Coturnix japonica: one gene and its partners. The protein of the gene in region 1 purifies or fractionates together with the protein of each later gene. This does not show direct contact. Links are inferred from orthologs where the notes say so. Each region holds a gene or a part of one and is shown in the gene's direction. Other genes may lie near its edges.

Region 1 (7,610 bases):
AGCCAGTGTCATCCTAAAGCAGAGCTTTAAGGTTGTGTCATTCTCCATCCATTTCATTGTTTGGGTTATCTGTGGCAAGGGTTTTCATTTTCCTCCCTGTTTCTTCCTGAGTTACTCTGTGTATGCCACAGAAAGAAGAGGAAGGATAGGTGAAAAGGCAGAGCAAGGCAGTATCATATTCTGTTATTTAAATGAAAACATTCAAGAAAGGATGCATTGCGTGTAACTGTGACCCTGACTCTCTAGGTGACCCAGTGTGGTAAGAGAGAAGATTTATGGGAGATTTGCTAAGAAGCAGAGATGGGGAAAGCCCTTCTGCTGTCTCCTTGTGTGAATAAGATGAAAATTGGTTAACATGGGTATTAGATGGAATTTAACCTGTGCAAGTGGGACAGACCACCATGGACTGGAATTGTTACTGGAAAACGTGTTGAAAAACTTCATGGAATGATGAGAAATTTCATTAGCTAGATATTTAACTACACAGAATGGCAAAATGAATTTGGCTGCAGTATTGAGGCCTAGATTTCACCAGCAACTACTTCTTACATATTTAGTATATCTATAATTCTGCCACTGATGATGTTCGGGGCAATTCCAGAAGACACGGGAAGCCCAATGACTCATCTGATCATAGCATTATCGAGAATGATGTTCCTGGTAGCAGATAAACAGCCTAGATAATCACATCCAGTGATCATGTTCAGATTATGTTGCACTTGGAGGAACTAGTCTTCATTAATGTTAAACTCATTCCACAAATTATCTTCTAGGAGAAAAGCTAAATGCAAAAACAGGGGAATTTTACCCTGTGTTTCTTCAAAACTAGCCAGAAATGGCAGAGAATATTTACCAATACAGTTGTATGCACTTTGTTATCTTATAGTCACCCCGATGGCTTACTAACATTACCAAGAAGAGGAAGCTAAGAGTCATATTTTTCATGTAAAATGAGATAGTGTAGGTTTTGTTCTTATTAAGGAATCTTGAGGCCATATTTATACAAAGAATAATGAGAATAAAAGGTCATAAAGAATTTCTTATTTTCAGCTTTAAGCATGGGGTTCAGGATTGCTCAGAAAATTGCATATTTGAAAACTGTGCTGCTCGGCTGATAGAATGTGTCAACATGCTGACGATACTTTATTTTGTTAATGGTAATATTGTCCTCATGCTGTGCAGAAAAATGAAAATTGGCGGAATTAATAAGAAAAAATGATAGGGTGTTTATTTTAGCACTCTTTAAAAATGGATTTTGTTACTTTGTATAAGGACCTGTAAATGCATTAGCGAAGTGTTACAGGTTTATTTAGCAAGGCTGCTTGATAGAATTATTTTAATGCTCTTTTTAGAAGGAATTAACATAAAGGACTGGAAGTCTTTTCTTCCACTGAAATTTAGCGGTCCCGTTAAGCATGTACCAGCTTATTTTCTAGCCTCACTTTTATTCCAGCTGTGACTGGGAAACTTTAGGAAACCATTCCTAAAAAGCACCTTGAGGTGACTGTGGTGGATTTGTTTTATCATCATTACAGAAACTAATCATTGTATAGAAGAAATCATTCAATGAATGTTGTTATGAGAACAACCTTTAGCACCTTCTAAAACGTTAGAAAGACATCAGCCTTTAGGATACGTGCCAAATGCTTGATATTTATAACCTTGTAAGCAGTGCAGCCTGAATAACAGGGATTACTGTTTTAAATACGTTTTCTGTAACCTTCACATTAAGTGTTGTAATTTCTCTTTATGATCAGATCTTCAGAAGGAATTACTGGTGGGCAAAATGAGCTGTGTATCCAGTACGCAGTCCTGTGGTCAGAAAGCCTTTAATTCAACAACTCTACTTCACCAATTGTTAAAAACAGAAATGTTCTCAGATGCAGGATGATCTTCATGGACTTAGTACTGAAATTGCCTTTGTGGCCATCAGGCTCCTTTGCATTTGGGGGTGTGAGCTTACAGTGCTAGACTGCAGCATCTGTGGCTTATATATGGGTTGTAACCTCCAATAAAGCTGTTAGGCAGACAGAAAATGTTGCTATAACCTAAACTGTTAAAGCCTGAATTGCAGGTGTGTCCAAGTTGTTAGTCTAAACTTTATTCTATTCACAGCCAGTAGTTTCAAGCTTTGTTCACTTTGGTTCTTGCCAGAGGGTTGTTTTTAGGGTGCGTCCTTAGGGAAATGAAATTAATCTGAAATTGAAGAAAGGTCCTTGTATGTCATTGCTCAGCTCTGAGCAGCAAAGTGCTGGGGCACAGTTGGTAGCAAATAATACCTGTTGCTGGTGACAGCGCCATAAGTGGTTGACACTTATCCACATTGAGAGTGGAGGAACAGATGAAATAAGGGATAACAGAGTATAAAATACAGTAGTGTGATGTTTGGAAAACTGTTTCTGTTTGTTATTTTATGCCAGTACCAAATATGCATGAGGTGCGCTTTTGGACCACAACAGGGGGCTGGTCTGTCACACAGAGCCAGCTCTCACAGTGACATCGTCTGTAGAAGTGACAAGTTAAGCAGCTGACAGTTCTATTTTTTAAACATTGACCTGAATGCAGGGCTTTGTCTCCACCCAAATATATGTTTGATAAACAGATTGATAAACCAGTTGTTTCTGGTTGTTTCGTCTTTTAAGATGTGTAAATACATATTTATATCCTGTATATCCATCCTCATTCTTGTTTTTTCTTTTGCTTCTGCAGTTTATTGTGGAGTGTCATGGGAACACGCTTCTCCCCCAGTTCTTGGGCATGTACCGGCTCACTGTCGATGGAGTTGAAATATATATGATTGTTACAAGGAATGTGTTCAGCCATCGTTTATCTGTGTATAGAAAATATGATTTAAAGGTGAGAAATAACTGCAGATGAAACAACTGAAAAAGTAGCTGAAAATCTTCAATATAAATGCTAGATTCTGCTGTTGATTGAAGATTGCTCAAAGTTTTAATGAATTTAAACCTGAGCTGTGTAGTAATCATGATTAGCTGGTGTACTTCTGCATCTAAGCTTGGCAAAGCTGGACTACAGATTTATCTGTATTGTGAATGTTTTAAATTGAGTGATTTTACCAAAGATACTTGTTATGTATAACTAATGGCTAAGGGTGAAACACATCACACAAGTAAGATAAGAATTCTGCTCACTGTAGGCTTTTCTCAACATTGTGGAAGGCCGCAGCTGACTGTCCAGAGGACTTAGATAAAATGACTTCATGAGGTCATTATTTAAACCAATAAAATGCTACTATAAAGTACATCGCTTCTACAGAAGCTTCATATTTCCTACTGCATTTTAAAAATAGCTCTGAGAAAGAAGAGAATTGCTCTTAAAATGCAGAATTTCTTTTGTTTTTATCATAAGGTGTGTTTTAGTTTTGTTCTAAAATGTAATTTGGCTGATATTTAATGTTCAGCACTTAGAATAAAGGCTTGAAATACATTCATAGTCTTTCTACATAAGGGATTGTTTTTATTTCCTCCATAAAATCTCCCTTAGAAACCTATTCATTCTAATGCATTTAACTTCTGTGTTGAATCACTACGTGCATCTGCATACTTATTTTAAGATATTTATTTAGCTCTTATTAAGAGGTTTGTAATGCTACATATTGCAGCAGCCATTCCTAGTTTTTTAGCTAGAAACTGAACCTGATGTGAGAACTGATTTCCTGATTGTTGACTTAATAGTTTTCAGTATTTGCCAGAGCTTACAGAAAGAAGATGTTTCTAATTCTGTTTTTGCTCTTCTTTGAATTTACCCTCTCAGAGTTAAGCTGCTTTTCATTTGAAATAACCCAGTTGATGCATGATGTGACTAGTGGAGGGGCAGAAAGCAACTATTCAACCATAGGCTGCCTTTTTTTAGAGTATTTTCTCCGGAAGTGCCACTAAGAATGAGTGACCAATCCCATACCTGAATGGGTAATGAGTAACTTCCAAAAATTAGAGAGAACTACTTGTGTTTTAGAGCATCATAATGACCATACGCATTAAAAGAGGGACAGAAGTACAACAGCAAAAATCAAATTGCGTATAATACATTCTTACTGTTGATCTAAGCAGCACTGCACTTGCTGCTGCTTACCTCTGTGAATACTTCTGTATACTGTTTGGTTTGTCCAGATAGGCAAAATTGCCTTAAAGATAAACTTCCCTGGCAATTTAAATTCAGCATCAATGTCATATTATTACTGAAAATTACCTCCCCCCAGCATATTTGTAACGACACTGCAAGGATTATAAATAGGTGTTTTTTTCTTCATTTCATTGATACAGCATCTGCAGTTACAGGTTCAGACTCCTTTTTTGTGGGTATTTCTGACACCAGCTTAGACAAAAGTCTCCACTACAGATCAACGTAGGATTTCAAAGTTATTTTCCTGTCCACCGAGACTTAAGAAAAAGATTACTTCAGTGATAAATTTCTCAACCTCCAAATTTTTTACTATTGCAAATGTTTTTTTCCTCATTTGGTTTTCTGCTGATCGTTGTCCAGACCCAATAGTCCTGGAGGGTGGTAGAGCAAAGAATACACTATAAGTAATTCAGTAAACTAAAATATTGTAGACTTTTGTTGAAATTCTTTATCAGCTAAAGATATACTGAAATGAAATTTCTGCTTGCTGGACTATACATAATACTGAGGGTCTGCTGTCCATTTGTCTTTTCTCTTTGTTCTTTCTACGTTTTCTCTGCAAACAACAAAATATGATATAAAAATGTGTGGTTGTGAATCCTCACATTCTTTAAACTAGTGTAAACCCTCTCGAGTACTTCTTTACCCTTCCAACAAGAGAGAGTTGATGTCCCAGTCTTTCAATATCCAGTGCTTACCACGTTATTGTAATGAAGGTGTAATTATGGGTGCTATTTATTGCAGTGCTGTTACCTGATAAACTCTGGGTACTTAAAGGCATAGGGTCCTGCATCAAGAAATTTGTTAAGAAATATGTACAGCCCTTTTTTTGCCACCTCCAGCTTATTCAGAAAGTGCCACATTATGTACTAGTTCCAGTTGTTTAAAAATGAAGTATCTTAAAATATCCACTGTGCCATTGGCAAACGCTGTAAATCTTTTGGATCCACTGTTGATCTCATCTCTTCTTTTGACTTTGTGCTGCTGTGAGGTACATTGTTCTTGTTTGTACTTTGTGATCTTTTTAAAATAGATTTGTGTGTCTTATGTTGTGTGACATCCTTTTAAAATGTGTATTACGTGTGCCCAAGTTATATAGAGTAGGCTGTCCCACAAGGGTACTGTGGGACAAGTAGGCTGTACATCTAAATTGTCACAGACAGGTCAGAAGTCTGCCAAGCCAACTGAACTTCCAAGGTTGTCTCAGAATTAGGATGAGACATGAGGAAGCAACCCCCATCAGTCATAGAGGCAATAGATAGAGAGCGTTTGAGGATTTAATCCATCCTTCTTCTCACATGATACATCTTCTTCAAGTTATGGCAGAAGTTTTAAGACATTCTACCTCCTGTATCACCTTCTTAATTTCGGAAGGATGCAGTTCATCCACTTTTTGACCTGTTATCGTAAAGTTTTCAAATTAGTTTCTGACATATGCACATTTTTAGATCCATTTTTTCTGTTTCAGGGCTCTACTGTGGCTCGAGAAGCCAGTGACAAAGAAAAGGTATGGTGCATTTCTGTTTACTTTTCAGTTATCTAAACTGCTAGCTAGTGTCAGGACAAGCATAATCAGTGCTGTTCTGCCCCCTTTCTTTGTTTTCTGTCATATTCTCCCTCTTGAGTTCTACCTTATTCCGTCCTTTATCTTTCCTCTATTTACTGCAGACCTTTGACTGTTGGTTTGCATTGGTGTTGAAAGTCCAGAGGTAAGTGAGCCACTCGTCTGCCTCCTCCTTTTCCTTTTTTCTCTTCTCTTCTTAGTTTCTTCAGGGCCTGCCCTGTTGTAGGAAAACATCAGGAACTTCATTCTCTTCCTGCTTCTTCATCTTCTTTTTCTTGCTCTTTAATATAAAGATTTATAGATACAGATTTATGGAACTATGTGATGGGGCGCTACTCTATTGTAAATGTAAAAGTGAATCAAACCTTGAATTATGATAACCATTGGTTATGTAAAGGTTGTTCAAACGAGGCGACAGCTGACAGGCATGGACATACATAGATGTAATGAGAGTGAGCAGCCTCCTTCAAATTCTATAGATGGAACTTTGCTCTTAAAGCAAGTTGGTCACTTTGTTTGTCTCCATCTGCAACTTGTGTTCATTTGGAAAACTGAACATTCTCAAATTGTTCTGTGAGGTTCCAGTGAAATTCAGTGGCACTTAAGGTTTGTCTGAAGATTCTGCAGATAACTGACAGCGGGACATAGTCTCCATTCTGTAAGACTTCTTAGATCTCCAAATTTTGAATGGTCTAGGAACTTGTGACACTAGTTTTCCTAAGTTTCCCATAATTCTTCTGAATTACGCTGTTGCATAAGATCATTCAGCAGTTTGCTTAAAAGACTTCATTTTGTTTTGTCCCCAAATTCCATTCCTATCACTTGTTTTTATCCTAAGCATTAATCATACCATACCAGCCTCTTTAACTCTTCTGTGAATCACACAGCCGCGGTAAGGGGCGTAAAATAGCTGCCAGCGATGCATTTCCAGCTGCAAGAAAAACTCTATGTGCTGAGTTTTTCCACTTCTTCTTAAGGCATGGCTGAGCACTTAAAATTCTTCCAGTGGTGTGCAGCTAAGATGTCACAGATGTCACTTACCATTGCAGTAATCTGCATTAGCTTTTCTTTTTCTGTTTTGGGCCCTTAAGATCATTTCTTGAATGGTCTTCATTCTTTTCTTGCAGTCTGTTTAGTAGCACAGCTCTAGTGCTTTTAGAACATGGATGTTAACTCTTCAGGTTTCTTGCAAGTGATATCCAGTGTCACTGAAAGCCTCTGCTGGTAGTGCTGAAATTATCCGATAGAAATGAGGAGCACAAATTACTTGGATGTGACTGCTTCAGTACTATTACAATAGTAATGCTTGGAATAATAGTATGTTTTATTAATACTACACGTTTAGCTCTGAAAGAGATGATACTATGCAGATATTTGGTGCTTATGTTTCGAGGAGTTTTAGGAATATGTCTCAAAATAATAATAGATAAATCATGATATACTGATTATATATAGCTATTAACTATATATCTAATTACTATATAATTAGTGCAAACCTAAAAAAATCACTAAATTAGTGATTAGTTCTCAGACAAGTCCATGGCAAAATTGCTATTGAAATTGATTATAGTTGATCTGTAACAAGGCTGTATAACTATATAGAAAACTTATTCTCCATGTATAAAACATGAAATTTTAACTTCAGCAAGACCAATGATAAAATTCCTATGAACTTCTGTATGTCTGGAGCCTCCCCTTTCATTTTGTGTATTTATATGAAAGCTATGTAAAAATTGCTCCCCAAGATTCTCCTTCCAATCTTCTAAGTTTCACACATTGTAGTCTTTTCAAATGCATTTGATTTCTCAGAGACAGAACTACATGAAGTGTATTGAGCTGTATGCAGACAGTCTTTGGCTGCTAGAACAGACTCTTACTACTCATAATTCAGCAAAGAGGTGGT
Region 2 (8,115 bases), on another chromosome or scaffold:
CCAGAAAGCACCACGAAGTCTTTGTATCTCTCTGCATGTGGGTAATTTTAACTATTTCTGGGTCGATTTCAGTGCTCTGAATTGCAGAGCAGCCCTCATCGTGCTTGTAGTACCCAGTTCTTAAATATCAGATGACTAAATGCTGATTGAACAAATCTCGGAGGCTGTTTTCTTTGTAGTAACAGTTTAAAATCCTGCATCGACTCTTTTTTTTGGTAGCAAAACTGATGCCTTGTGTTGCAAAATGGTGCCTCAGGAGGCAAGCTTGGTATTTCCTTATCTGTTCTATGGAGGGACGCTGTGCTCTGGGTAGACTTGGCTCTTTAGCAGGTGATTGCTTTGAAGTGACATCACGACTTCTCTTACATCCCTGCAAGATTTAGAAGCTCTGATTGCCCTCCTGCGTGCTCAGCACCAGCACCAACTTGTAGCATGGCTGTGCATTGCACTACAGCCCTGTTCAAATCCCAGTACGTTGGATTAACCAGAAGATTTCATTTCTCAGCCCCAATATCACACCTCATCTCTGTGTAAGTAGAGCCTGCGGTTTGTCTTAGTGCTGGCATTGAAGTTATGATGTTTTGTTGTTGCGAGGATTTGCTTTCCAGATTCTTTGTAACCTCTTGTTTTTAGGAGAACATGGATCAGTTTTTGCTTCACGTCGCTGTCTTGCCTTGTTCTGTGCTCACCTGGAAGCCTGCAGGGTTTGCACTGCCTTGACAGTGCTTGCAGCTCATCCTTCAGTGCTCCAGGTTTGCTGTGGCAATGGGAATCCCTCTCCCCTGCTTTGTGGGGTGGATCATAAGGTCTGCATAATTATGCCCACAAAGGCTCCTAGTAGGGGCAGGAGCTGTATAAGACAGCTGTATGCCTGCAGCAGACCCATAAGCACCCCCCAGTACACATACAATTCTCCTTCCCTTTGTGGATCCCTCTGTCTTACTCCTGCAAAAGCAAAACCAAAGTGCTTCAAATAAGAGCCCCGACAAACTTTTCTCCTTAAACCGTCTTGTTAATTTTTAAAGCAGCAGGAATTGGGCAACAGCAAGCTTAATTAGGGAGGGAAGATCTGAAAGCAGCCCAGTGTGCAGTGATTGCTGGTTGCATTTCTCAGCACCTGTTGGTACTCAGTGCCCTTCCTAAAGCGTGATTGAATTGCAGTCACAGCCAGGATAAACAGAACAGGTTGTTGTTAAGGTAGGAGAGTGCCCATGGTTAAAGGGCTGCTGTATGGGGTGGTTTCCAGCCCCATAGCTGTCCATTCTGCTGTCTGCTTAAATCAGAAGTGATGTGATGCAGACAGAGAGGTGTCTGGATTTTCTGCTTGGCTGTCCTGGATGTTATTTTGGCACAGTTTGCTGAACACCATGTTTGAATACTGAACGTGGCTGATATACCTGGGTGTGCATATAGGAGTCCAACCTTCATTGTGTGTCTTATTGTGTGTGCTCAGCTCTTCTCCTTTCACTCCCTCCATTTCCCCGTGGGTTTTGTCCGTGTATTTCTGGAATAACGAACGCACAGCGCTGCTCTTTTGTTTCTCCTCACCCAAACAAAGCTGTCATGAGTACAGAATCACACGACTTTGCCCCCTCTGCTTTCTTGTAGGTCAGCCAACCTGCATACCCAGTGCTGTGGGCACGCTGCCCTCCACCAGAAAATGCTGGATCTCATTCTTTCTCCCCAGTGCTGGATCTCCTGCTGCATCCCATGCAAAGCAACGAGAGTCCCTTTTATTGCTGCCACAACCACCACCCTCTCACTGCTGCTTTTTTCTTACCATTCATTCCTGTTTCTTTCTCTGCCTTTTTGGGATGCTTCAAATTGCTCCTCGATGCTGATGTGGTTTTGAGGACTGTTTGGCTGTTCCAGGGAAGTACATGCAGCTGCTTATTTGTCACTAAGGAGATCCGTGCTGAGGTTCTGCCAGGTTCTTTCCCATCCTGTTCCTGCTCAGTCCTTTTGGCCACCCATAGGGAAACGTGATATCGTCATCTCCAGTCCCTGTCATCTTCCAGTCCCCCTCATAATGATCTGCCTGAGATTGAGGGTGGATTTACAGTCCTTGGAAAAAAGGTGATTTCACTCCCTCTTGGGTCTTCTCTAATGATTCTCTGCAAATTGGGGCTGATCCTGGATTCAGGGCTGAGATTTTTTGTTGTTCTCGTTATTGTTACAGCTTCCAAGAACTGTCCCGTGGCCTTAAATCACTGGACTGCATCTCTAAAGCAAATTGATGCGGCCTTCAAAGCGAAGCCCAAACACTCATAGCTCATGTTCTTGGCATCGCCTGTTTCAGATCACTTAGAGGGTACGTCTGTGTTGTTCTCAAAGTGAAGCATTGTTGGTATCCTGTTGTCTTGAATCCCTTTTAAACTGCAAAATGCAGAACACATCCATATATCCCACATGCAGATCGTGGCAGGAAAGCAAAGAAGCCGGTGTAGACTTGTTTTCTTCCTGATGCTCCCTTAGAAATGAATGTTGTAACATTTTTGTTAGGCAAAGGCTGCATTGATGACAGTTGAAGCTCCTTAAGGGGGCTCAACCCTGGAGGCATTTGTCATCCCTTCAGTGGAAGGTGGAGGTTAAAAGCTGACAGTTGATTGTTAGATAAATTTTTGCATTATTTCCATATTCCAGTGGGTTTTTTCACCTGGCCTTGAGCAGTGATGGAGGAGGCTGGTTTTGGGGGGGGGGGGGGGGGGGGAACCAACATGTGAATTATGGATGTGCAAATCACTGCTGCGTTCCTGGCAGGGAACTGCTCAGGTAACAGCTCTGGGCCTGTTCTAATGATGGCGTCGTGGTAGGATATATTGGAATGGAGGTGAGTAAGAGGAGGTGGTGGGACACATCATGAATGCATGGGACTGAGAGAGGATGAGTAGTGCCTATTCTCCCCCATGCAAAGTGTGGCACTAAAAGGTGACCTTAAGTTTGGGTGCACTCAAGAGAGGCTTCTGCAATCTGGGAAGTCAGGTTTGGGCTAAAAGCCATTGGGGTTGAGGATAGGATTATAGGATATTATATATAGGATAGGTATTTTTCTGTTATCAAGGATAGTGGGCCATGGTGGTGTTGATCTGATGGTCAGATAAGATGATCTCAGTGGTCTTTTTCAAGCTTAACAATGCTGTTATTCTTTTTAGGACGTAATTTAGTGGGCATGGTGGTGAATGGTTGATGGTTGGACTGGAAGATCCTAGAGCTATTTTCTAACCATATTAATTCTATGATAGCTCCAAGTCACTGGAAGAAGAAGGAGGAATAGGAACCTAAAGTCTTGATGGGAGACTCTTGGAGTGTGGGCAGAAACTTCCTTGGAGGTGTGGTTTTCTCAGCTGCCTGCTGTTCTTTATATATAAAAGGGGAAAAAACATAAAAGTGTGCCACTAAAGCAGTTACCCATGTCCTCGACTGACCTCTAGCATGGTCAACTAATACCTGCAATGTTGAAACAGCTGATGAATTATTAACTTCGGTGCTGTGGTGTCTCTTGGCCGTTGGTGTTATGTTGATTCGTCTCGATGGTGGCGGGGCTGGTCGTGTTTTAGAGCTGTGAAATGAAGCATTGGGGCTGAGGACAATGTCCAATGAGACACCCACTTTTTTTGTGTGTGCTCTGATAAGAGCATAAACCAGGACTGATGGAAGCTCGTATGAGATGTTGCTCTTTGAGGTGTCCCTGGGTAGATGTGGCACTGAAGGATGTGGTTTGGTGGGTGTAGGTAGACATGGTTAGACTGGATGCTCTTAGTGGTCTTTCCAACTTAAATCATAGTATGGCTTGTATTGGAGGGGACCTTAAAATATCATTTATTTCCAACCCCACTGCCATGGGCAGGGTTGCCAACCACTAGATCAGGCTGCCCAGGATCCCATCCAGCCTGGCCTTGAATGCCTCCAGGAGCATAATGCATTCATGACTCTATGATTCTGTTTAGGAACATGGCTTAGTGGGTGTGGTGGTGATGGATTGATGGCTGGATTTGATGACCTTAGTGGTCTTTCCAACCTTTTATTGTTCTTTACCTTTTGTAAAGAGTTCAATTTTATGGATCTAAATAGGATTAGAAAAGCGCTACCAAGGTGTAGTTAATATTTGGTGGCTGGCATGGATGTGATCTAAGAGCTGAGGCTCAGTTTTAAGGACAAATAAAGCTGCTCCTTTGAGTCGTGCTCATTCAGCTGTGAATGGCTTAGAGCCAGGTCATTTTCTTTTGCAAAGAATCAGATTTGGCTTTCAGTGTGTGGAGAGTTGGTTGAGTTTGGGGTTGGTTTCTTGATGTGTTTTTCTTTTAAACTCAGAATTAAACTTGGGAGATGTGCACCAAGAGCAATGCTTTTAAACAGTGGTGGAATGGAACCATGAAATCAATGTGGAGTTTGCGATAGAAGGAGTTAATGATAGATGCCATCCAAAATGTGTCCTCGTGTCCTAGCTGATCTCAAACTGTTTTATTTTGAGGGATGATTCCTTTTTTAGGGGCAGAGAGAGGTATCTCCTGGCTGATGCCTTCAATCAAAACTTCATTAGTGGGAGACTTCAGAGCAGGTGGAAGGTAAAGCTCTTTTAGTGTGTCCTGTCTGCTTGAAGCCAAATGAAAGCTGTTTTTTCTCCCATCTAGTGCCATTAATTCAAGCTGGCCGACCTGCCCTCCCCAATCTTTAAAGCCAGTCCAACTGAATGCGAATACCGAGGGATGGTATCATGTAGCACAAGCTTTAAACCTCACAATAATCAGGCTGCTTTCCTGCTGAGGTCATTTGTGACAGAGGGGTCCTGTGTACAGGGAGATGTGGCAGTGCAATGCTTCCCAAAGCATCTCCATGACTTAGGGGGGGGTTGGGAAAGGTGATGTCCTGAGCTGATTTCAGTGGAAGTTTGGGAATGGCCTTGCCTTGTAATCCTCTAATTTAAGACTGTAAACTGGAGGAATGAAAGAGCCCTTCCAGGAGCAAAGGCACAAATGTTCAGACTAACAGATGTGACTCAGCACGGTGATGCTGGCTGCTCTTCAGTTGCTGCCCAGCGCACTCCCTCCTTTTTCCCTTTAAGACCAGCCACGAGGAAAGCAGTGGGAATAAGGGAGCAGAACGCTCAGCACTTTGTTGAACAGCCTGCCATGGTGGGGAACTCGATCCTCCCAGCAAGCAGAGGAATCCATGTGCGGTTATTGGGGTAAGCTCAGATCCCAAAAGGAGAACACGACAACGGTGACAGGCAGTACAGGAGTTGAGATGTCCGAAATCAGATCCTTGTAATGCAGCACCAGAGCCTGTGTTCCTTGAAAGGGAAGGTATGCACCGAGGTGTCAGCTCACCCTCCTCTGTCCCATGCAGACCGTGCAGGGAAGTGTCCTGCTATGAGCTGCTGCTTGCTTTTTTAGGATTGTGGGCACTAATGAGCTCGTGTGCCTGGCATTGGATTAAAACAGATTCTGGCTTGCTTGTAGCTGGTGAGAAAGTTACGTTAGGTTGTGTTTTATGTTTTACTTCTTTGTTTCTGCCGTGTGTTCTTTTGTTTGATGTGAGCAGAAGGTAAAGGTAAGTTTATACACGTGGTGTTTGGGCCAAGAAGGATAAGAGTTCACCAGCAAATAGCCACGCTCTGTTAACTTACCCAAAGGCCAGTGAGAAGAACAGGGGGAATCCCACAGCTCTAGTTGTGCAAACCTGAAGAAGTATATCCCTATGGCTTCAGCAAGTGAACCCATAAGCCCCATTTTGATTAGCAGTTGAATTTCCCCAGGGTCGTGAGATTTGCATCGTGCCAAATGGGGAAAAAGATATACATGTATTATGTACAGGCTGCCCAGAGAGGTTGTGGGTGCCCCATCCATCCATGGAGGTGTTCAAGGCCAGGTTGGATGGAGCCCTGGGCAGCCTGGGCTGGTATGAAATGTGGAGGCTGGTGACCCTGCCTGTGGCAGAGGAGTTGGAGCTTCATGATCCTTGAGGTCCCTTCCAACCCAAGCCATTCTGTGATGATTCTATTGTAAACTTGAGCTGCTTTACAGTGAGGTGCTCAGGATCACCTTTACAGGGTGATTTTTGTTGTAAAAAGGAGAACCTTTCAGCGCTTCAGCATGATGCATGGGGGAAAAATACTGCGGGTTAAGCAAAGATCCGTGTGTTACGCCTGCTTAGTCATACCCAGAAACGTGTTCCGTGGGGGTTAGTTGTGCAGAGAGCAATTTCAGACTTGTGCAAAGGTGCCTTGGGAGATCCCAAGCACTTCTTGCACCTCTGCATATGGTCTCAGTGCTTCCTATGCTTCTTAGTCTTCCTTTTGCTTTTAACTGGAGTTGGCTGTAGGGATCGATGAGGAACTGCTTTAGGTCTGCCCTGATGTCTCTTGTCACAACCAAAAGTTTTACTCCTCTACTAAAAGAGTATTGCGTGGTTTGATGTTGTTTCCTTTTTTGGACTTCATTTTGCCTGCTTGCAAGAGCTTCCTGTGCAGCCTGGCTGGGGTGTAACTGGATTCTGCAGGCTGCATTAGGGCTTTTTTGTGGTTTTATTGCTGGTTGGTTGTTGTTTTTTCTCAGAGCCTCTGAATACATCCAGGTTAGTGAGCCCTTAAATTGTCCTTCCTGCCTTTTAGTGGCTCCCAAAGTCACTTTCTTTGCTTCCTCCCTGAAGCCCAACGTTAGTTAGGCCAGTTTATTCTCAGAAGCTTTCTGTAGGCTTGAGTGGTACAAGAAGCATTGTGAGACATGAAAGCTTTGTAATCCCCTATGGCTTTTATTTCTAATAACTGGGAATCTACTGCTGAATGCTGGGAGAGCCCACTGCCAGCTGTGAAGGGTTTTACATTCCTTCCCAAAGAGCTTCCAGCAGGAGATGTCCCTTCATTCTTCAACAAGATGCAGGATGGATCAGCAGATCAGAAGCCGAAGCTGCTGGGCTCAATCCGTGCCACTGCTTTTGGGTTGGAATTGATAACTGCTTCTCACCATTCCTTTCTGAAGTCACCCAGGAGCTACAAAGGCTCTGCAGCACTCACGTCCTTCTCACTAGACCTGAATGGAGCTGACCAGGCTGTCACATGAGTCACAGAAACCCACATCAGCCGTTTTTAGGTCATTGCCAGACGGGGCTAAATTTAGCAGATGAGCCACAAGTGTGAGGCTTTGCATCCAGCTCCTGCCTTACAGTTTCCCTACAACTGCCCTACAACTCCTCGTACATCTCTTAAAGGTGAGGGATGAGATTCTCCACCCCTTTTCTGTTCTGAATCCCACAGAGCACAGCCAAGACTTGCTTGCGGAGTTGCTCAGTGACAACGTATGAAGCAGAAGAAGGGAAGAGCACAGTAATAGGATCTGGAGCTTTTCACCTCACGGATTATTGCCTTGAATCCTTGTCTGGGTTGCCAGTGACGCTTCCCTGGGAGGAGAAACCTGATGGTTTATCATCCAGCTGCATCCACAACCACATTTCAATGCTCCTGGAGGTGTGTGCCAGTCTGGGGGGGAGCAGCTCACACCTGGGGCACCTGAAGCAAAAAGCATCCCCAACCATCTGCTCTTTCAATCCCCACATCTCTGCTAAAATAGTCAGGAGCAAAGGAAGGGGGGAAGAATAATACTTCTGCTGACAGCACAGTGGGAAGTTTCAGTCCTGCTGAGAGTGATGTGCTGGTTGTGCAGTCCCAAGCTGTTCTGTATTTTAACTTCATCAGTCGTTTCTGGGTTCTGATTGTTTGCAGCAGCACGTTGGTTCATTAGGGTTGGGGTTTTTTTTCTTTCTTGTGTGTGCGTGTGGATTAGGAATATTGTCATCAAAACCGGCTTCGAGTGTGTCAAGTTGTCTTCATTCTGATCTATGAAAGGAGGCTGCGATAAATGTGTGGCTTTGAAAGTCTCGCTGGGTCTGCTGGAGGTCACCTGTAATTCAGAGCATCTGGCAGAGGTCAATGCTGGGCTTTTTGTTCTGTGGCATTGCCAGCTTTGGGGGTTTTTTATCAGCCCTTCATTTGAAGGAGGAGACACTTCAAACTCGGTGACAAAATCCCACTTTTCAGGCAGCTGCACCGCTAACGACTGAACTGTGTTAATTAGTTCTTAGTGCGGTGGTGTTCCTTTGTCCCTTCTATAATGATGACTC
Region 3 (8,410 bases), on another chromosome or scaffold:
GTGGGCAGCGTGGTGGCCGTGCTGCTGGCCATGGGCGGGCTGCTCTTCTACAAGTATAGAGCCAAGGTGAGACCCCAGCCCGGCCTCAGTTTCCCCCGTACCCCAAGTTGAAGGGGGGACCCTGAGGGCCGCCCCATTGCAGGGAATTGGGGTGATGCTGACCGGCACTGGGGGTGTTTTTTGGGGGGCTCCAGGTGGGAGCCCCCTCCCCATCCTCACCCCTCCCTCCCTCCAGGTCCTACAGCGGCCGTTAGAAGAGGGGGGCTGCGACCCCGAGGAGCCGGAGACCAGGTGGGTGCCATCCCAATCTGGAGACCCCCCCCCACCCTACGCTTACCCCAACCGGGGCACCCCGGCCCTAAACCCCCCGCTGGGTTTTGCCCCTCAGGGCGCTGCGGGGAGCGGAGCGATGCTCGGAGCTGGAGACACAGGAGCTGTGAGGTGAGGGGGGGGGGCAGGACCCCGATCTTTGGGTGGGGGGGGGGTCTCCCGGCTGGGCTGGGAGGGGACACGGCAGGGCTGAGTCTCAGCAGGGCGGTTCAGCAGCCCGTTCATCCATAACCGTTCTGAAGTTCGAACCCACCATAACCTCATTTCCCACCCTCTTTATCTCCCCAGCGCCCCCCGGCGGGATGTGACGCTGCTCGGTGTGGGGGGGACGGCTGTAGTGTGGCCTCCCCCCATCCAATGACCCCCCAGCCCCGTCCCGCAGCTGGAACCCGCACAACCCACGGGTGAGGATGGAAGGACGGGGCGGTGCAGCCCCCCAGGACCCTGGAGATGGGGCGGGCGGCACCATTGGGCTCCATTGGGACGGCGTTGGATGCTGCGAGTGGAACATCTCCCCCCATCCGTCCACGTTTCCCATTGCTCCTCTATGACACCCGGCACTGGGGGACCCTATGGGGGGGGGGGGGGACCCCTCCTGCATCCCACTGAGGATCCATGGGCCTGCAAAGGGGAAACCTTCACACTGTGAATATTTAAGACCCGCGGTGCCGTCCCCATCTCACAATCCCAAGCTGGACTTGGGAGCTGCTCAGCTTCAATATGGACGTGATGGATAAATCCTTTATCCAACCAATGCACTTTGGGGGGGGTTCCCCCCTCCCTGCAGGGTTATGGCTGCGAGCTGGTCTCGCCCCCAGACTGGATTTAAGTTGCTGGAGCACAGCATGGCACCATTGATTGAATGGGTTTGGGGTGCAGCCGAACCCAAACTGCATCCCAGCCCACACAGCAGCCCTCCCTTATATATCTGTTATATCCAAAGGGAACGGGACGGAGCCACGCTCAGCTTTATGGGGTTGTTTTGGAAGCATTAGGGTTTGGTTTTCTATGCGTATTTATGGACTGCCAATAAGAGGCATTAAATGGGGGGGGGTGGAAGTGGGGGCTGAGCTGGTGCTGGCTCAGCACATGGAAATGGGGGGGTTTAAGGTGGGGGGGGGGCGGCAGCTTTTGGGGCTATTTCTGCCTCTTGTCTCATTTTTTTTTGTACAGCGAAATGGTGGAAATATTTTATACAAAGTCATTTAAAGAAGGTCTATTTAAGGAAAAAGAAGAGAAGACAGCTTGTATATTTAATGTTATTAATAAAGATGGACGTGCAGCACCACCGTGTGGGAGCTGGGAATGGGGGGGGGGGGGGGCACAGTTTGGGGCTGGGGGAGGCACTTGGTCCCATAGCAGATATAGGGATGGTGGGAAATCAGTTCTCTATCTCTGCTGTCTCATTTTGGTCCCGTTTTGGGCTGTCCCTCTCCTATGGGAAAGGCTGGGGGAGGATGGTGTGTTAACCCCAGGCTGCTCTGGCCCCGAGCTGGGGCTGATCCAATGCTTATAACCCCCCCCCCTCAATGTAGTGGGGGCTGCAGGGTGAGCTCTGGGTATGGCTGGGATCAGGGCTCACCCTGATCCTGTTTTCCTGTTGATCCATACAATAGTTCACGGTCACTGGGATGCACCCGGCCTTCCTGCCACCCCCCATCCCCACACTGCCAATGGGGGGGGGGGGTGCAGGGCTGGACACCCCCCCCCCGACCCTGCAATGAATGCAGGAGGAGGCAAAGCAGCTGCTAAAAGCAAACACACTTGAGGTTCACTTCCTGCAAGCACTTCACTTGGAGAGGCAGAGCAGCACGAGGCATTTCCTTCTTATCTCCCCCCCCCCCATACCCCAGACCCCCATCCCTCTCTATGTGCTAATCCAGTTCCCTATGGGAAGGTTTGGGGGGGGTTCAGTGGGGTATGTGAGTTCTATAGGGTCACCTGCGCTGTGGTGGACGTGCAGCTCAGGGCTTTGCAGCTTTGGGGTTGTAGGATGAGCCCCCCATTGCTCGCTATGGGGGGAGCCCCATGTGGGCCCTATAGGGCCGTGTTTGCTGACAAACAGGATTCCTCGAGGGCAGCTGACTCAGCCCAGCCCTTCCTCTCCCCTGCAGCCCCGGGGGTTTCCCAGCTCCACATCCCCTTCCCAAGGAAGTGGGACCTATATATATCCGTCCGGATCTGGGCCATAGTGATTATGGTCTGTGTGTGTGTGTGGGGGGGTGATTGGGGTCAGAGGATGTTCGGGTTGTTCTGTGGGGGGGCTGGGGGCAGCGAGTCCCTGCCCTGATGGAGGGTTAAGCTGAATGATGGCTGTGGGGCAGTGGGGATGGAGGAGAGGCCATGGGGAGGGGGGGAGAAATGGGGGGAGAAGGCACGGGGAGGAGATTTTGGGGGTAAAACTGACAGTTTTGGGAGCCCTAAGGGTGGGTTGGGGGGAGCAAAAGCTCAGAGCCCATTTTTGGGAGCTTTAATGGGGGGATGGAGCCAATCCATGTTCCTACAGCAGGGAGGGGGATCATCCCTCCTAAAGGAGAGCCCCCATGGGGGGATTTTTACACCTTAAAAGCAGGTGAGGTGCCGAGATGGGGCTGAAAACCCAAAGTCTGAAGTGGGGGGGGGGAGGGATGAAGCATCAGCACTGGGGTGGCTGTGGATGGGGCACCGTCGGACCACAGCCTTCCCTATGGGGCAGCAGGGACCACAGCCCTCCCTATGGGGCCGCAGACTGCTGACGGGGCAGCGCCGTCCCGGAAAGCACCGCGGGGCCGCGGTTCCCCACTGGGGGTTATAGGGACGGAACGGAGCGATCCCGGCCACCCTGATGGGATGGAGGGTTGTGTCGAGTGAGGACCGGCCCGGGCCCGATCTGCGGTCAGACAGAGCAGTTTTGGTTAAGGGGAAAACTATGAGCTGCGATGCTGCAACGCTGCTGGCTCTGTGGGTTCATCGCTGTGGGGCTGGAGGGGGGACGAGCAATGAGGGGAGGTACATGTGTGTAACCCCATTGCTGGGTATGGGGGGGGTAAGGGTGGGAAATGGGGATCCCAAGGGGGAAGCGGAGCCATTCAGTGCTGGATGGATGGATGGATGGATGGATGGATGGATGGATGGATGGATGGATGGATGGATGGATGGACAGCAGCACCATCAGCCCGTATCAAGGAGGGACGTGGCCCTTGGGAGCACCATGGGGGGCTGAGCTGAGGGTGCTGACCCCCCCCCCCGTGCATTACAGCCCATCCCAGCCCGTCCCCACCATGATGGATGCTTGTTCCTTGGATCTGGCTGCCCCTAGAGCTGTGCTTGGGGCTGCCCTGACCCAGCGCAGAACAGAGAGCTCAGCCCTCCAGGAGGATGGAAGGGAGGTGGGTGGGGGCGAGGATTCTCTGGGTCCCTTCCAACCCAAACCATTCCATGTCTCTGTTTCTCAGTTTATTTATGACTGAATCAGATCATAGTGGGGTTAAGCTTCTTTATTCATTCTTTTATCTGTTTATTTATGCATTATGTCCTCATCCTCATCCCATCCCATCCCATCCCATCCCATCCCATCCATCCTCCATTCCAACCCATCCTCCATCCCAACCCATCCATCCTCCATCCCAACCCATCCCATCCCTTCTCACCTCATTCCCATCCATTTTCATCCCATTCCCATCCCACCCCATCCCATCCCATCCATGCCCATCCCATCCCCCGCCATCCCCATCCACCCATCCCCATCCCATCCATCCCATCCATCCCATCCCATCCCATCCCATCCCATCCCATCCCATCCCATAGTCCTCCCGTGGCGGTCCATTCCCCCCTTCCACCACTAGGTGGCGCCATGGTGCCGCTCCCGTTTCCATCCCGTCTCTTCTATCTCCCCGCCTCACTCATCCAGCGGCCGCGTGATGACGTCATCACGCACTAACGTCACTCCAGAGCCGCCCCCGGCGCCCCGCGCGGTGCCCGCAGTGTCCGCCGCATCGCGCTGCGAACCGACCGGAACCGAACGGAACCGAACGGAACCGAACGGAACCGAACGGAACCGAACGGAACCGAACGGAACCGAACCGGGGCGGCCCATCCCTCCTCCTCCCCTTGTACCCCTCCGTTCCGCCTCGAGACACGATGTCGGGCCCGGAGCCCAGCGGCGGTGAGGAGGCCAAGCAGGCCAAGGAGGCGGAGGACGCTGAGAAGTTTTCCTTTATGGCCACCGTTACCAAAGCGCCCAAGAAGGTACAACGGGATCGATAGGGGCTGGAATGGGGCCTATGGGGCTGTATGGAGCTGTATGGGGCTGTATGGGGCTGTATGGGGTCAATATGGGGCTGTATGGGGCTGTATGGGGCTGTATGGGGCTGTATGGGGCTGTATGGGGCTGTATGGGGCTGTATGGGGCTGTATGGATCTGTATGGGGCTGTATGGGGCTGTATGGATCCGTATGGGGCTGTATGGGGCTGTATGGGTCTGTATGGGGCTGTATGGGGCTGTATGGGGCCGTATGGATCTGTATGGGGCTGTATGGGGCCGTATGGATCTATATGGGGCTGTATCGGTCTGTATGGGGCTGTATGGATCGGTATGGGGCTGTATGGATCCGTATGGGGCTGTATGGATCTGTATGGGGCTGTATGGATCGGTATGGAGCCGTATGGGGCTGTATGGAGCCGTATGGGGCTATATGGATCTATATGGGGCCGTATGGGGCTGTATGGATCTGTATGTGGCTGTATGTGGCTGTATGGGGCCGTATGGTGCCCTATGGATCTGTATGGAGCCTTATGGATCTGTATGGGGCCGTATGGATCTCTATGGGGCCGTATGGGGCCGTATGGGGCTGTATGGATCTGTATGGAGACTTATGGATCTGTATGGGGCCGTATGGAGACTTATGGATCTGTATGGGGCCGTATGGAGACTTATGGATCTGTATGGGGCCGTAATGGGGAGACTTATGGATCTGTATGGGGCCGTATGGAGACTTATGGATCTGTATGGGGCCGTATGGATCTGTATGGAGCCTTATGGATCTGTATGGAGCCATATGGGGCCCTATGGATCTGTATGGAGCTATATGGGGCCGTTTGGATCTGTATGGGGCCGTATGGATCCGTATGGAGCCCTATGGAGCCCTATGGAGCCCTATGGAGCCCTATGGAGCCCTATGGGGCCATATGGGGTCGTATGGATCTGTATAGGGCCTTATGGATCTGTATGGAGCCGCATGGGGCCCTATGGATCTGTATGGGGCCGTATGGGGTCGTATGGATCTGTATAGGGCCTTATGGATTTGTATGGGGCCGTATGGTGCCATGGGGTGAGAGCTGAGTGCTGCCCCACCATGTAGGGCTGTTGTCGGGGCTTATAGGTGGGCACATCGCTGTGTGCTGGGCTCAGGGTGTCCCCATTGGGCTCAGTGCTTTGCTATGGGTCCCCGTGTGCTCATAGTGGGGACACAGCCCCCATTGGGGACCCCCCTATGGGTGGTTATGGCAGCACTGGGATGTGATGGGAGCGGAGGGTTGGAGGCTGTCGTGCCCAGCTCTGTTTATTCAGGCTTTGGATGTGGCCTGAAGGAAGGAGCGGAGGAATGTGGAGCTGGGAGCTTGTAGGGGGGGTTTGTGTTCTTATTGCTTTTGTATTTAATGGAGCTGGGCTGGTCATGGAGCTGATGGTAACAGGGTGAGGCTGTGGCTGAGCTGGGAGCAAGCAATGAATCCTGGAGCATCATACCCACGGAATAAGAAATAACCTCAGTGTATCCAGGGGGAATCCTGGTGTTCTCAGAGCTCTGTCTGTGCTCGGGTTGGTTTGGGATCCTTCCTTACCTCGCTGTGCTGCTGTGTGCATTGAATTGCGTTGCATTGCATTGCGTTGCATTGCATTGCATTGCATTGCACAGCACCAAGAGCAGCCGTCACACTGCAGCGCTGTGATGGTGGAGGTGCCCTGAGCCACGGGAGGCATTTGATGCTGATAACATCAGCGTTGCATTGAGATCCTGGGGAGCTTGCAATGCAACTGAGGTCAAGGAACAAAGCGCTCGGGGCTGCTGCTCTCCTTGCATGGCTGCTTTGTGCAAATAGGGCTCAGTTATAGGGGAAACCTTGGCAGGAGGATGAAAGGAGAAGGATGGAGAATCACCCTGCAATACAGCGCTGAGTGCCCCCAGCTCTGGGCATTTCAGATGCTTTCCAATTGCAATGGAACCATTCAAACGCCTCTTGGTTTTAATGCAAGCCAAAGCTGCTTACGGCTGCTCCGAGCGTGGCCAGCATTGAAGATGGCTGAGAGGTGGAGCTGGAGGACACAGTGTGTGCCCTGATACTGGGATGGAGCTGAGCTGTGTGAGCTGAGCTCCTCAGGGAGCAGCTTTGCCTTGTCCCAGTGCATGGGGTGGGTGTCCCCAGCTTGGAGCCCCCCCTTGAGCACAGGGGGAACACATGGGCTGCATCGGAACCCTTCAGCATCGCTCTCCTGATTTGCTTAAGGTGAAAAAGTGAAACAGCAGGAGGTAAGAGATTAAAAGATTACACGCCATCGGATTGAAGTCGGAGCTGCAGCCGTCAGAGCTGGGGGTTCCCTGCAGCAATGCGGCCGCTGCTGCTCCAGGAGCTGCTGGCGTCGCCTGCAACCTCTTGCAGCTCCTTTGCTGCTCTGCTTCCCGGGGACAAAACAGTGGGAGCCATTGGGCTGCTGGGCAGGGAGAGCTTTGCAGGCAGAGGTGAGCGATGCTGAGCCTTGTGCTTTGGTGGGGGGTGCTTTGCTTTGGGGATGGAGGAGAACAGAAGGGCAGTGCGTGCTCTCCCAGCTCCCTGGGTGCTACTTATGCTGCCTGCACCCACAGACCTGCAGCTGCCCTTGGAGCTGCATTTCCCAGCCTGTTTGCTGCAGCCCTGAGCTCCCTGCTGTGCTCTGTGTGTGTGTGTGTGTGTGTGCCCTTGAGCTGGGGGGGCTTTGCATGCCTGCTCCCTGTTTGTTACTGTGACCCTGCACGCAGCATCTCCATGCAGGCACCTTCACGCTCGGGCGCTGTTGGACAGGCAGACGCTCTCGTCCTCTGCAGACAGATCTGCTTATTCATGCACTGAAGGTGGAATGGGCTCCAGCTCAATGCTCGGTGCTGTGGCCCTGCAGTGCTGTGGGACATGGATATGGAGCTGGGGGGGGGGACCCCGAGCAGGCTGTGCTGCAGCTCTTTGCTGCTGAGCAGTGCCTGACCTTGCTGCATTCTGCTTCTGCACGGCCCCTTCCCAGTGCTGGGGTTCAGCCCTGTTGCTTTCTGCCCTCACATCTCTGCTCCTGAGCCCCCCACCCCTCTCTATATCTCATGGATAGAGCTGCCCTTGCACTGAATCAACCCCCAGAGCCGCTTGTTTTTGCTCTTCCTTTGATTCCATCCCTTAGCTTGGCTGCTCCTGAATCCTTCCTGCCTCTCTTTGCCTGTCCCCTCACTGTGGCCACCTCCTCTGCTGCTTCCCAGCCCAGATGCTGTGTGCTCAGCTGCTCCTTCCTTCCCCAACCATCTGCTCTATTATCATCTCCTACACTTTTCCCTTCCCATACCCATGTGCAATGCAGTGTGTGGGGGCGGTGGGGGTCCCCCTGCTCAGCACAGGGGCTGATTTGGCCTTTGCTGGGAGCAGGGAAGCAGCTCACACAGCTGATGGGGAGCTCTGGGGCTCCTGGCCCTGCTTGCTAACCCTGATGTGGGCATGGGAGGAGCACTGTTTTCCTTAGGCCGTTCCCCAAACACACAGCCGGGCTGGGTCCAGCCTACACCAATACTTTCTTTGGGACTCTGACAGTTTCCCCTGTGCCAGGATCCCACCCCAAAGTGGATCCTGGTCGTGCCATCCCTGCTCAGGAAGCAGCCAGGTAGTGAGCATTGCCCATAAGCAGCTGGTTCAGCCCAGGGCTTTGCAGGTGAGGACCGTGCCCTGCTCCTCGTGCAGTTGCTGAGCACCACATCCAGATTTACACTCGTTATCATTGGGAGCTGCTGTTTGCAGAGGGCTTTGCTTCTCTTCCTGCTGAGCCCATTGATCCAGGCTGCTTATCTGGGGACTCTGCCTCGTGTTGGCTTGG

Evidence for each region.
Region 2: the proteins of PIP4K2A (region 1) and UBE2H purify together in Homo sapiens (affinity purification with mass spectrometry; 3 studies listed by BioGRID and IntAct, with this or other methods). This does not show direct contact. The link is inferred for Coturnix japonica from reciprocal best matches to the Homo sapiens genes PIP4K2A and UBE2H.
Region 3: the proteins of PIP4K2A (region 1) and AHCYL1 purify together in Homo sapiens (co-immunoprecipitation; 3 studies listed by BioGRID and IntAct, counting the BioPlex papers as one, with this or other methods). This does not show direct contact. The link is inferred for Coturnix japonica from reciprocal best matches to the Homo sapiens genes PIP4K2A and AHCYL1.

The regions. Positions count from the first base shown.
Region 1 is NC_029517.1:15,957,856-15,965,465, forward strand, and holds part of PIP4K2A (phosphatidylinositol 5-phosphate 4-kinase type-2 alpha), read left to right. Parts: intron 1-2,709; coding exon 2,710-2,856; intron 2,857-5,611; coding exon 5,612-5,650; intron 5,651-7,610. UniProt on the Homo sapiens protein: Catalyzes the phosphorylation of phosphatidylinositol 5-phosphate (PtdIns5P) on the fourth hydroxyl of the myo-inositol ring, to form phosphatidylinositol 4,5-bisphosphate (PtdIns(4,5)P2). Has both ATP- and GTP-dependent kinase activities.
Region 2 is NC_029516.1:911,444-919,558, reverse strand, and holds the start of UBE2H (ubiquitin-conjugating enzyme E2 H), read left to right. Parts: upstream 1-3,274; 5' UTR 3,275-3,289; coding exon 3,290-3,329; intron 3,330-4,489; coding exon 4,490-4,565; intron 4,566-5,062; coding exon 5,063-5,185; intron 5,186-8,115. UniProt on the Homo sapiens protein: Accepts ubiquitin from the E1 complex and catalyzes its covalent attachment to other proteins. E2 ubiquitin conjugating enzyme that transfers ubiquitin to MAEA, a core component of the CTLH E3 ubiquitin-protein ligase complex.
Region 3 is NC_029541.1:1,675,432-1,683,841, forward strand, and holds the start of AHCYL1 (S-adenosylhomocysteine hydrolase-like protein 1), read left to right. Parts: upstream 1-4,263; 5' UTR 4,264-4,449; coding exon 4,450-4,557; intron 4,558-6,618; exon of another isoform or gene 6,619-6,836; intron 6,837-6,924; exon of another isoform or gene 6,925-7,046; intron 7,047-8,410. UniProt on the Homo sapiens protein: Multifaceted cellular regulator which coordinates several essential cellular functions including regulation of epithelial HCO3(-) and fluid secretion, mRNA processing and DNA replication.